Linked DNA regions of Arabidopsis thaliana. The protein of the gene in region 2 interacts with the protein of the main gene of each other region in a pairwise test. Each region holds a gene or a part of one and is shown on either strand. Other genes may lie near its edges.

Region 1 (3,756 bases), 2.9 Mb from region 2:
TGGATGGTGTTATAAAACTCGAACCCACCAAACTTGGATAGCCTCTTGTATCTATTTCTCTATTATTTCGGGTAATCTTTACTCATACATAGTAAACAGGCTCTCTGGATTTTTACCTCTCTGAAAAAAACATAAAATGAGTCGGTTTGATTTCGCTAATTAAATACCATTTTCCCTACTAAAAAACGAAACGAAGGCATGAATCATATCAGGCATTGTAATCAACTTACGTGCTTACACTATTTTTATACACACGATAACATACTAACCCCCGATTTCTTAAACGAACAGCATATTTACAACCAAAACAAGAAATAACATAGCAAGCAAAAACCTAGTACATAAGTGAAAAAGAAAACCAGTAAATCAAAGCCAAACCCCATTAGTTTCCACAAAAATTACATTAAAAACAAACCATCGAACTGATGATTTTGGCCAACCTCTCTCTATTCCTTGCCATGTTTTCTAGCTGTGAAAAAATAAATAAATATATAAGTTAATTTCAAGGCAGTAATTAAGTGATGAGATGTATGAAAAAGTTTCGTAAGAATTGTAATCTTACGTGAGAGTGAGAAGGCGTGGGAGGTCTTTAAAACATGCAACCTCTTTACAGTAGATACAAACATCCTAACAAATAAAGTAAACTATATCATTAATATGTCCAATGATTCAAATTATTATCAGATAAATATCCAAAAATATGACCTTTAAAGGAAAATAATAATCTGATGAGAAATGGCCAAACTCTTTTTAGGAACTCATACTAAAAATATTTGTTAAATTCGACAAAAACAAAAGTAGATAGATATAAAATGAATTTTTGATAAAGTAAGTTCATATTCAGTTCCAGAAAAAAAAATGGAATTAGTTTTGTTTGATTTAAAACTTACTCCCAAGGAACATCCCCGACCAGAACTTTATCTCCTTCAGTGTCTTCGTAGACCAAAGTGTATTGTCTGTTTAGATCCCACGAATCTTTCTTAGAGAAGAGTTGGTCAACGGCATGTGAAAGCTGTTGGTAGTTGTTATAAGCTGAAAGGTTGACTTTTCTTCCTATTGGAACTCCTTCCATGTTGATCTTAACGTACAATTCCTTCTCTTCATCACTCTCCTTCTTCTTCATCTCCTCCTTTAGTTGTGCCGTTAGGTTTCTCCGGGATGATCTCACCGGCGGCCATCCCACCACTGGAGCTACCTCAACCCTGTTTTAGCCATATCTAGTTATAACATATACACAAATACTTTTTGATAACTAGATACCGAAACCCAAACTAATCTCCGAAAACTGTAGAATTACCAGGATTTTGTTTTTTATTTTTATTTTATTATCATATAAGACATCTACAATGAACAAGAATGATTCAAATCATTCATGAGAAGAGATTAAGAGAACCTGTTATTGGAAAGGAATGATGTTTCTTTGGTCGAGCTTTTTTGTTTAGATCCATTGATGTTGTTGTTGGAAGTGAATTGGTGACAAGGAGGAGCTAGCCTTAGCTCCAATCTCTTTTCTTCTTCCATTTTTCTAAGTTTGTGTTGTGTTTTTGGTGTTGGGGAGTATTATTATATGGGTGGTTGGCAAGGAACTACAATCCCAATCTTTTTATAAAAGTAGTCTCTTTATATTTTCTAATGAAAAGAGATTTTATTTTGAATTAATAACCACCTAACAGATCCTACTTGTATGGTTTCCGTATGTCAAAAATGCGTTTACATACGTGTATGATTCTACGAATGTGATGCGGATTGATGGGAGACACACATATATTATTTACAACGATTACTATTATATAAAGAGAATAAATTTATATGATGATCATTAGAAAAATCCAATAGACTAATTTAGAGTTATAGGTAGGTGGTTATCAAATTAAAAACCCACTTAGAATATATGGTAACATGGTTCATAGCCGTGTGGGGTCTCATACTACCGAATAACTCTGATTAATTACAAAACATATGATTCCAAAAATCTTAGATGTAATCACCAAATTATTACGCTGTCTAGACGTGTCCATTATCATTCTAATTCGATCCAAAAAGATGTGGGTAACCGAAAATTACCAAAGAACTAAAATGCTACCATAGCACCAAAGTCAAAATGAATATCCAACACATACACATAAACCAATTTAAACAAAGAGATATATAAATAACAGTGATTAGTAATACCCCTTTATTAGCTAGTGACATGAATTAAAATCATATTGAAAAATGAAAATGAATGCTATTCTTACTTAGAAAATGAAAACTATAATCATATAAACTATGTACAATTGCTTCTCTTATGCATGACATTTGTAACACATGTATTTTAGAAAATTCATGTATGTCACCGTGACTCATGAGACAAAGAAATGTATCATGCATGGTTGTGTCATCATGTGATCATCAACATAGTCATCATATGATCATCTCCACACCCATTCTTGGAGAGTAGAGGCCGACATAGAAAAGGAAACAAGAAAGAGGAAAGAGATTCCTAGGCATGCTTAAATGAGTACCTACCAATAAAAGGAGTAAAGTAGTAGGTTTTCGTTTACTAACCTTCTTCTGTTTATTTTTATTTGATATATAAGTACTGCAAATATTAATTGTATGTATACTTAGAATTCCACTACAAATTCTCTCTTTTTTCACGAAAAGTCCACTACCAACTTGGTTTTTGTTACTCTAATTTGGCCTCCATAATGTTTGTCCTTTTTTTCAAGTTACATAATCGATTGATTTACGGAAATTGCCAACCCATGAAAAGTCATCTTAAACATAATCAAGTATAACTTTAGAAATATATCAAGATGGTTTAAGGATCTTTCAACTCAATCTTAAAAAAACTTAATAGCTATGGCATATAATCAAATAAGCTGTAATTTGATTAGTGAAAATAACTAAAATGGGTCAACGCTCAAAATACTACAAATAAAACTGTTGAAATAGACACATAAAATTTGTGGCTATTTCACAGTTTCTTATAGTTGAATTGGTTTATACTTATCTTGTGTCTTTTGTCTAGAAATTTGTGGCAATCTAGAAATTCTCTTTTGTCTTTTGACCTTTTTTCATGGGTCATCACCTATTTGTTTTATTCTTTTTAACTCGGGGCAAAACAATTTCTTCAGCCGATTTATATTAATTAACCGAGAGTCCGAGACCAATATACCATGACTAATCATCACACTAATAATGACAGAGCTTATAGTGTAATTTTTACTTGATTCTGACCCTGCACATACGTGTATATAAATATAATGGAATACATTTTTAGTTAAAAATATTATAGTGTATAAATTATAATATGCATAGAACAGTGTACAGTGTTAATTATGATAAAATAGCTAACTTTTTTTATTAATTTATATTATTTATATTTTATTTATATTTTGCATGGTAAATATATTGTTAGATTTGTTTGGATTTGCTGAATATATAGAGATATTTGGAAAATCTGTGTATTTTTGTTAGTTTGATGTATATATAAATTGATTGTTTTTGTTTGAAATTTGATCAATTAGATGATATAATGTAAATTTAACTCCGCGGTACACCGTTGGTCGATTTTTTGTAACTAAAAATTCAAATTTTAAGATATAGTTGTTTTGTAAATATTGTTTATTTTGTTTAGTGTTTAAGATTATATAATTATGTTATAGTTATTAATTCTAAGATTTTACTCGTAGATTATCGTCCCGTATTAATATCAACCCAAACTCGTTCCACCATATAACTTCATTCCGTAAAATGAAAATCATTTTGTTA
Region 2 (3,756 bases):
CAGAATGAAGGAAACCATCAGAGTCTTCGTCAAGCTCACTCATATCAATCCTAGCTTGTGTAAGCGACACCTGAATAGTGTTGAACATATGATTAATCAAAACAAGTATTAACTATAGTTGTTTAAGTAAAAGACACGCCAAATTAAAAAAACTTGAAAAACAAACATCCAAAACTAGCAAAGCTGGTGTCACTCAAACACAGTACCAAAGAATATTTAGCTTATGGCGACAGATGATATTCAGCCAATGAACAAAAATGATACCCAAAGACATGACATTATAAAAACATAAGGATACTCACCGTGCGCATCACATAAAGATAAAACGGTAAAATGGCAATCCTCCCAGCCTCATCCTTCTCAAATTTCATGAAATTGGATGGGCTAAAAAACCGGCGACATTTGGGACCGATTTGTTCAGTGCATACAGAGGCAATGTGACAGAAGTCTTCATAGTTCATCTACATGAAAAAGACAGCGCAATATCAGCATCATTGTTAACATAGTTTCAGCTCCAGAGAAAAATCCTATAAAAGATGCACGTACCTTTTCAGCACCAGTGGCATCATCAATCACACAATTTTCTCTCAAACAAACCCACATAGCAGCCAAATCATCAGCGTTTAACAAAAGATCCGATTGTTTCTGTGGGAATTAATCAACATATCGAAGTGAGCAAAAACATTAAACTTCTTCTGAATAATTAAGAGCAGGCGAAATACCTTCAAGAAACGGTACTTTGCAAGCTTCTGGACCCTTTGACTAATAGATCCTTCTTCTGGTTTCTGAACCAAGAGTAAAGGAACAAAATTTTATTGCCTAACACGAATACTTAAAAGGAAAAACAACTTCTATGAAGTGTATAACACAATGCAATATTTTAACCGAGTAGTGCCTTGAAATGCAAAGGCAATCATTTTATACAGAGTAAGGGACATGCCTTCTTGTAGAAACTCGGTATTGTGCCTGCTTCTTGGCTTTTCTGTTGCTTCTCTTTAAAAATCTCGAGCAAGATTCTCTTCGTCTCAAGCTCTACAAAACAATGAACACAAACCCTTATCAAACTAAGCAAAACCAAAGACTCTATCACAGTTAAACATAGTCTTTCAATACATAGACATGTAAATTCAGGAACTTTACTCATATTGAAAACACAACGAGCTCTAAAATGTGATCAAAGATTCAAACTTTACAGAATTTATGACATCATCACAAGCTAAAAGATAAAAAAACTACAGACTGTCCCAACAACCAAAACGCAACAACCGGCAAAAGGAACATTACCCATTAGAGCTTCGGATCCTAATCCGGCACCGGAACCAATATATCGTCGTAGATTTCTAACCCAAAGCATCGAAGACGCCGGTGGGATCTTCCTCTGCGTCGATGTATCATGACTCTCACCATCGCTAGATCCGCTATACATTCTCGGAGATCGTCACAACCCTCGACGATAAATGTTAGTCACCAAATGAAGCAGAGAGATTAAAACCCTTAAATAGAATGGTGAGACTGAACCAGGAACTGCAGAAACCCTAAAGCGCCCCCTTTCTCTCTCTCTCCCTCTCTGGAGCTCAATCTGCGAGATCCAAGCTTCAAACTTCAAAGGTAATAAAAGTTTCTCCTTGTTTGCTATATAAGTCCTCAATTTTATACTACTTTTGATTGTAACCCCCTTTACTTTGAAAAATCAATATTTAGTACAAAATGTTGTTTATATCACATAAAGTCCCGTTAAGATTTATCAGAGAAACAAATGGCTTCCATATCCATTAACTGTTTCTTCACTCCTCAAGCTCTAGCCCGACCCAGTAGGACGAGGAAGATTTTCGCTAAACCTGACAAAGTCTCGGGAAGAACCCGAAGCCCTAGAAAAACGAAGCTTCAACGCGAAGTCGAGCTTAAATCTCGAGGCGGTGATAAACTCCAGCCAGTTTCTGATGCCGGCGGCGAAGCCACTACTTATACACGTCTTCCTCCTAGGGAAGATTACTATGATGTCTCTCTTTTGTCTTCATCTTATTTAAAAGTTTCTGAAGAAGTGAAGCTATCTGAGTCCAATGTCGCGAGGGTTGAGGAAAAGATTGAAACTTTGAGGGAAATTGAGGAAGAAGAGAAAGAAAAGGAGGTGAAGAGTTATGATGATGATGATATTTGGGGAAATTACAGAAGATTAGATGTGTTTGAAGGGAGTTCAAGATCAATTGATGAAGATGATGAAGATTGGGAAGACGAAGTGTTTGAGTATGGTGATGAAACTGATGCGGAGAAAGATGATAGTGAAGGGTCTGAATTGAAGGATGGAGAAGTGTTATGTTTCTCCGGTGAAGAGGAAGAGGATGAAATTGGGGTGAAGGAGAAAGGAGTTCCGGCTGTGATGAGGTGTTTCGATAGAGCGAAGATATATGTTAGAGCCGGAGATGGAGGGAATGGTGTGGTGGCGTTTAGGAGAGAAAAGTTTGTTCCTTTTGGAGGACCTTCAGGTGGAGATGGAGGGAGAGGAGGGAATGTGTATGTAGAGGTTGATGGGTCTATGAATTCGTTGTTGCCATTTCGCAAGAGTGTGCATTTCAGGGCGGGACGTGGGGAACATGGGAGAGGGAAGATGCAGAGTGGAGCTAAAGGTGATAATGTCGTGGTGAAAGTGGCTCCTGGGACGGTGGTTAGACAGGCTAGAGAGGTTGGGAGTGAGGTGGAGGGTGAGGAAGGGGAGGAGAAGGAGGTGCTTTTGGAGTTGTTGCATCCGGGACAGAGGGCGTTGTTGTTGCCTGGAGGGAGAGGTGGACGAGGGAATGCTTCGTTTAAGTCGGGGATGAATAAAGTTCCTAGGATTGCTGAGAATGGCGAAGAAGGTCCTGAAATGTAAGTGTGTATTTTTCTTCATTTTTGAGCTGGTTTTAGTTTAGTGTGTTGATGATGGTTACAAGCTTTGATAGGATAAACTAATCACAGAAGCTAGATTGTTCAAAGATGTAAAAATTTCATTTTGGTTTAGGAACAGTTGATTTGTATTTCTTTTGTTTGGTAAAGCTTGATGTTTACATGTGAGCCCTGCTTCCTTCATTCGATCATCTGGGTTAGGTTTAGTATCTCGGTTAATCTCCAGAGGAAATCTCATCTTGTAAGTAATGCTCACTATACAAGAATTTATATATAGATACAGGTACAGGACTTTTGAAAGTCTTCCATTGCTGACTCTGCTAGTAGAAAAGCTCATGTTGATAGAGGTATGTTAGAGTATTATGAACGGATATGAGTTTCTGGGTTATCTATAGACTGGATTGGGTACTCTTAGAGTCCAACACTATCATGCTGTTGGAGAATTATGAGACTGTGTTTGCCTTTAGGAAATGTAATATGTGGTTCATATATATATTTTTTTTTTTCTGGGAAGCTCTGATTCCCAATTATAACTTTACATATGCCTATAGGTGGCTGGACTTAGAACTGAAACTGGTCGCAGACGTAGGTATTGTGGGTGCTCCAAATGCAGGAAAAAGCACATTGTTGAGCGTGATAAGTGCCGCACAGCCAACCATAGCAAATTACCCATTCACCACATTACTTCCCAATCTAGGTGTGGTTTCATTTGATTACGATTCAACAATGGTGGTCGCAGATCTTCCTGGTTTGCTCGAAGGAGCGCACAGAGGCTTCGGTTTAGGCCATGAGTTTCTTCGGCACACTGAGAGATGTTCAGCACTGGTAAAACAACTGTCTTTAGAATTTAGATTCAAATCTTTATACTTCATTTTT
Region 3 (3,756 bases), on a different chromosome or scaffold from region 2:
CCATAACCTTATTATATTTTGATTTGGTGACGTGAATCCAAACATTTGTTATTTTCTTTGTCTTCAACTATCAGATTAAGAATAAAATCTTTACTTTTCAAAGTTTATCAATTTAAAGTAGTTTGCAGTTTTAAAAGATAACTCTTAACGTATTTTGTGTGAATTTAAGAACAATTAAGGACAAAACTTTTGATGGTCAAAACTTTTCTTGTCATCAATCATCAATATATGATTTTGATGGTCTTAGAAACATCTTCTCTTCGACCAAAAAAAATAAACATCTTCTCTGTTTTTTTTAATGACACACTCTTCTCTGTTTCTGCAAAACGTTTTGACTCGAGTCAATGGAAACTTCAAAAAGACAGAAAACAACAAACCATATTAAGGAACAAATATTCATTCTTTGGAATCATAAACATAACTCTTATCACATTAATTAGATAACTTCAACTATTTACAATCTGAGAGAACAAATAAACAAGAGCTTTCTCTCACAGAACATAGATAATTGGTACACAGCCAAAGAAGAAACAAACTGGAAAACTACGAATTGAATGACCTAAGCAAAACCATATCCGAAAACCGGATTCAAATCATATCTAAGCTTCTGCATGCTTTTATCCATATTCTCCAAAATACTTTCTTCAAAAAGTATCGAGTAAATTGCAAACCTCAAACAATACATAAACAATGCCAGCTTTGGAAGGGAAGCTAAACAGGGTTGTTTCTTTGTCTATCCTTCTGCTCTTGACGTCTTGGAGCTGCATTAAAAATGATTCAATCAGTCTTTTTCATTAGTCAAGACGAGAAATCAAGAAACCAGAAGATGATCTTTAAAACTTACCTAGTCCACTAGCTTCTGAGGTTCCCATGATCCGAAGCCTTTTCACCGAGTTGATAAACATTCTAAACAAAAAGAGAGAAAAGAGACTAATCAGGTTTTGAACTACTGCAATACTGCTTAATATCCGAATCTTACCTCCATGGAACATCTCCAACAAGCATCCAATCCCCTTCCTTATCTTCATAAGTGAGTACAAAGTCTGATGATCCATCTAAAAGCCTTAAAGGTTTAACCTTTTCTCGACAAGTAGTACCTGATAGATAAAACAGAAACTATCAGTAGATTCATAGAAAACATCGGGTTTATAGTGTACGCATTTGAAAACAGTACAGACCTGTCATTCCAAAGAACATTTCCTCAAGCGTCTGAGCCAAGTTTTCGTAAGACGAATGAGCTCTCATATCCACTTTTCTGCCTATACCAACTCCATCCATATTCACCTTAACAAACCCTAAGCCCTGAACTTTCGGATTCACCTTCATTGACACATCTTTGAGCTCATCATTCTTCACAACTTTCTTCTCCCCGTCTCCTTCTTCCGCTCTTGCTGCCTTCATAGCTTGGTTATTAACCAAACTGTTCATCCTGTGTAACCCAATTGGTGGCCATCCTACCACTTGACTGCCACAACAAACCAAGAAATTTCCACTCAATGGCTCTCGAAATTCAGATGTAATCATCTAAACAGACATTAAAATGAACAAATCTTAGCATTTGCATGACTCCATAGAGAAATCTATAGCACAGGACAAGCACAAGCTCATCAATGGAGATAGATACCTAACTCTTATTCAGGGTAAACTAAAACAAAAGCACCTACACAATTCTGTCCTGAGATGGCATAACACTCACATCACAAGATTTGAGCTTTCTTAATAAGAAAAAGGACGAACCTTGAACGAGGAGGAGAAGCTCCTTGGTGAGAGGAAGATTCAGCAGAGCGTTTAGACCCAACGGAAGGAAAATCCTTAGCAGTAAGAATCCTCCCACGCTCTTTCCACGCGCCACCACCGAGGCTGAGCCCTAATCCCAATTCCAGCTCACTCTCCGCCGGAAGATTACTCTTCCCCACCTCCAATTCTGACACACCACGCATGTCAATAACAAAACCCTAGACTCCAATGATACCAGCAGAGAAAGTGTCTTTCAAATAACCCACACAAAAAAGAAGCTTGATGACACAGAGAGAATGGAGACAACAAGAAGAGAAAGAGTGTATTTAGGGTTTGAGAGAGACGAGAGAAAGAGATGATGAAAACAGAGTAAAAGAGAGAGAGAGAGAGGAGGATTTTGGTGGTGGAGAGAGTGATGAGAATTGGGACCCATATGTCTTGTAATGGCCATACCAATTTTTTCTAACCAAAAGTCTTCTCCTTTGTTATAAAATATTGTTTGTTTTCTCTCAAAACTTGTCTTCCGACATAATCAAACCTGTTGTGCTCTCGTTGGGATATCGTTGTTGTGTTTGGTTCAAGCAGCAAGAGAAAATAGAGAGTCCCAAGAAACTTGTTTACAGTTGTATGTGTGTGTGCAAGGTTTTGCTTTGTGTTGCTGTTGCATCATAATATAGTTCTTTTTTGTTTTCTTTTCCGCTTGTGGTTTTTTTCTTTTCTTAACCAAAAATTGTATTGCTTTAGCCTTTAGGATGAAGAGTCTCTGTTTTAAATACCATTTTTCTTTAATTTGGGCTAATCAAAAAATCTAAATTAACTTTTATATTTCATATACTATGTATTGGTTACATTGCTCCTAGATTTTAGACCTAATTTTAGTCTCTCTTTAACAGGTTGGCCATCATTCTTTATACTAGCAAACTCGTTTATGGTCATATGCCATTTGCATATTGACCATTTGATTATCTTTCTTTTCTAATAACTAAGATAATATATATTTTCAACTTTTTCCTTAGACCATGATTGTTGTCGAACAAGATTATAAAAGAAAGTGAGGGAAAAAAAATGGTGGGAAAAGATGCATTATTATAAAATCGTGGTGATGAGATATTCATCATTATGTTTGATGATCCTTTGAAAACTTTTGCAGGCGCAATTGGTTTGTGGAAATTACACTTTTGATCAAAATCATTATCAAGGAGTACATAGATTTCATGCTCTAATTGATGGATTTGATAGAAAATAAACTAAATAACCGGTTATATCATGTATGAATCAAATAAGTATACATAATACATGAAAGTATAGTTAGAAATGCAGAATTTGTATATTTATTTTAGTTTTTTTTAGATTAATGTTTATATCATTTTGTTTCTTTTTAATTTTAGTCACCATTGTCTACAATACCAACATTTGTTCACTCACTCTTAGATTTCATTTTTATATTTTTTTTATTCCACTCACTCTCTTACATTCATTCACAGTTTTCTAATTTTGTTGTGTGAGCTCACTTTCTATTAAACACTATATTATAAGAAGAACATTTTTTAATTTTTTAAAAATAAGGAAGAAGAAGAGGAATACACAAAAATAAATGATTTATTAACACAACATTAATAAATTAATTTTTGTTTACTATTTGATTAATTCATCAGCTCAGATCCTTAAAAAATATAGTTTTCCAAAAAAAATAAAAGTTAATATAAGACCAATAAAATAAAGATCACACAAAGCTCAGATCGTCAGCGGAATATGTGCGTTGCACACGTCCGGCTCCACCTTTCTTAGTAGATCCTTCTGAGACCATCGGCCCACCACCACCACCGCATACGAAACTGCATTCCACACCACAAATCTTACTAAAACACGAGAAAAGTCCATTACCTCCATCTGTGTGACGGCGGTTATGCTTTTTCGTCGTCGGAGTTTTCCGTCTTGAACTCATTCCTCCCCCGGCAGTTGCAGCTGGAACGCTCGCGCCATCGTAATCAGTGCTACTTATATGGCTTGATCCTATGT

The links.
Region 1: the proteins of FASS (region 2) and IAA28 interact in binary tests that used the Arabidopsis thaliana proteins (3 or more experiments, as listed by UniProt).
Region 3: the proteins of FASS (region 2) and IAA12 interact in binary tests that used the Arabidopsis thaliana proteins (3 or more experiments, as listed by UniProt).

What each region holds. Positions count from the first base shown.
Region 1 is NC_003076.8:9,031,245-9,035,000, reverse strand, and holds the start of IAA28 (indole-3-acetic acid inducible 28), read right to left. Parts: upstream 1,798-3,756; 5' UTR 1,522-1,797; coding exon 1,394-1,521; intron 1,203-1,393; coding exon 891-1,202; intron 628-890; coding exon 563-627; intron 470-562; coding exon 447-469; 3' UTR 1-446. UniProt on the Arabidopsis thaliana protein: Aux/IAA proteins are short-lived transcriptional factors that function as repressors of early auxin response genes at low auxin concentrations.
Region 2 is NC_003076.8:6,172,824-6,176,579, reverse strand, and holds the start of FASS (tonneau 2 (TON2)), read right to left. Parts: upstream 1,609-3,756; 5' UTR 1,427-1,608; coding exon 1,285-1,426; intron 1,033-1,284; coding exon 941-1,032; intron 786-940; coding exon 723-785; intron 646-722; coding exon 547-645; intron 462-546; coding exon 303-461; intron 71-302; coding exon 1-70. Other genes in the region: EMB269 (GTP1/OBG family protein), read left to right, coding at 1,757-2,862, 3,432-3,705. UniProt on the Arabidopsis thaliana protein: Probable regulatory subunit of type 2A protein phosphatase involved in the control of the dynamic organization of the cortical cytoskeleton.
Region 3 is NC_003070.9:1,238,766-1,242,521, reverse strand, and holds IAA12 (AUX/IAA transcriptional regulator family protein), read right to left. Parts: upstream 2,229-3,756; 5' UTR 1,941-2,228; coding exon 1,738-1,940; intron 1,466-1,737; coding exon 1,179-1,465; coding exon of another isoform or gene 1,147-1,178; exon of another isoform or gene 1,098-1,146; coding exon 980-1,097; exon of another isoform or gene 907-979; coding exon 845-906; intron 762-844; coding exon 712-761; 3' UTR 365-711; downstream 1-364. Other genes in the region: AT1G04540 (Calcium-dependent lipid-binding (CaLB domain) family protein), read right to left, coding at 3,461-3,756.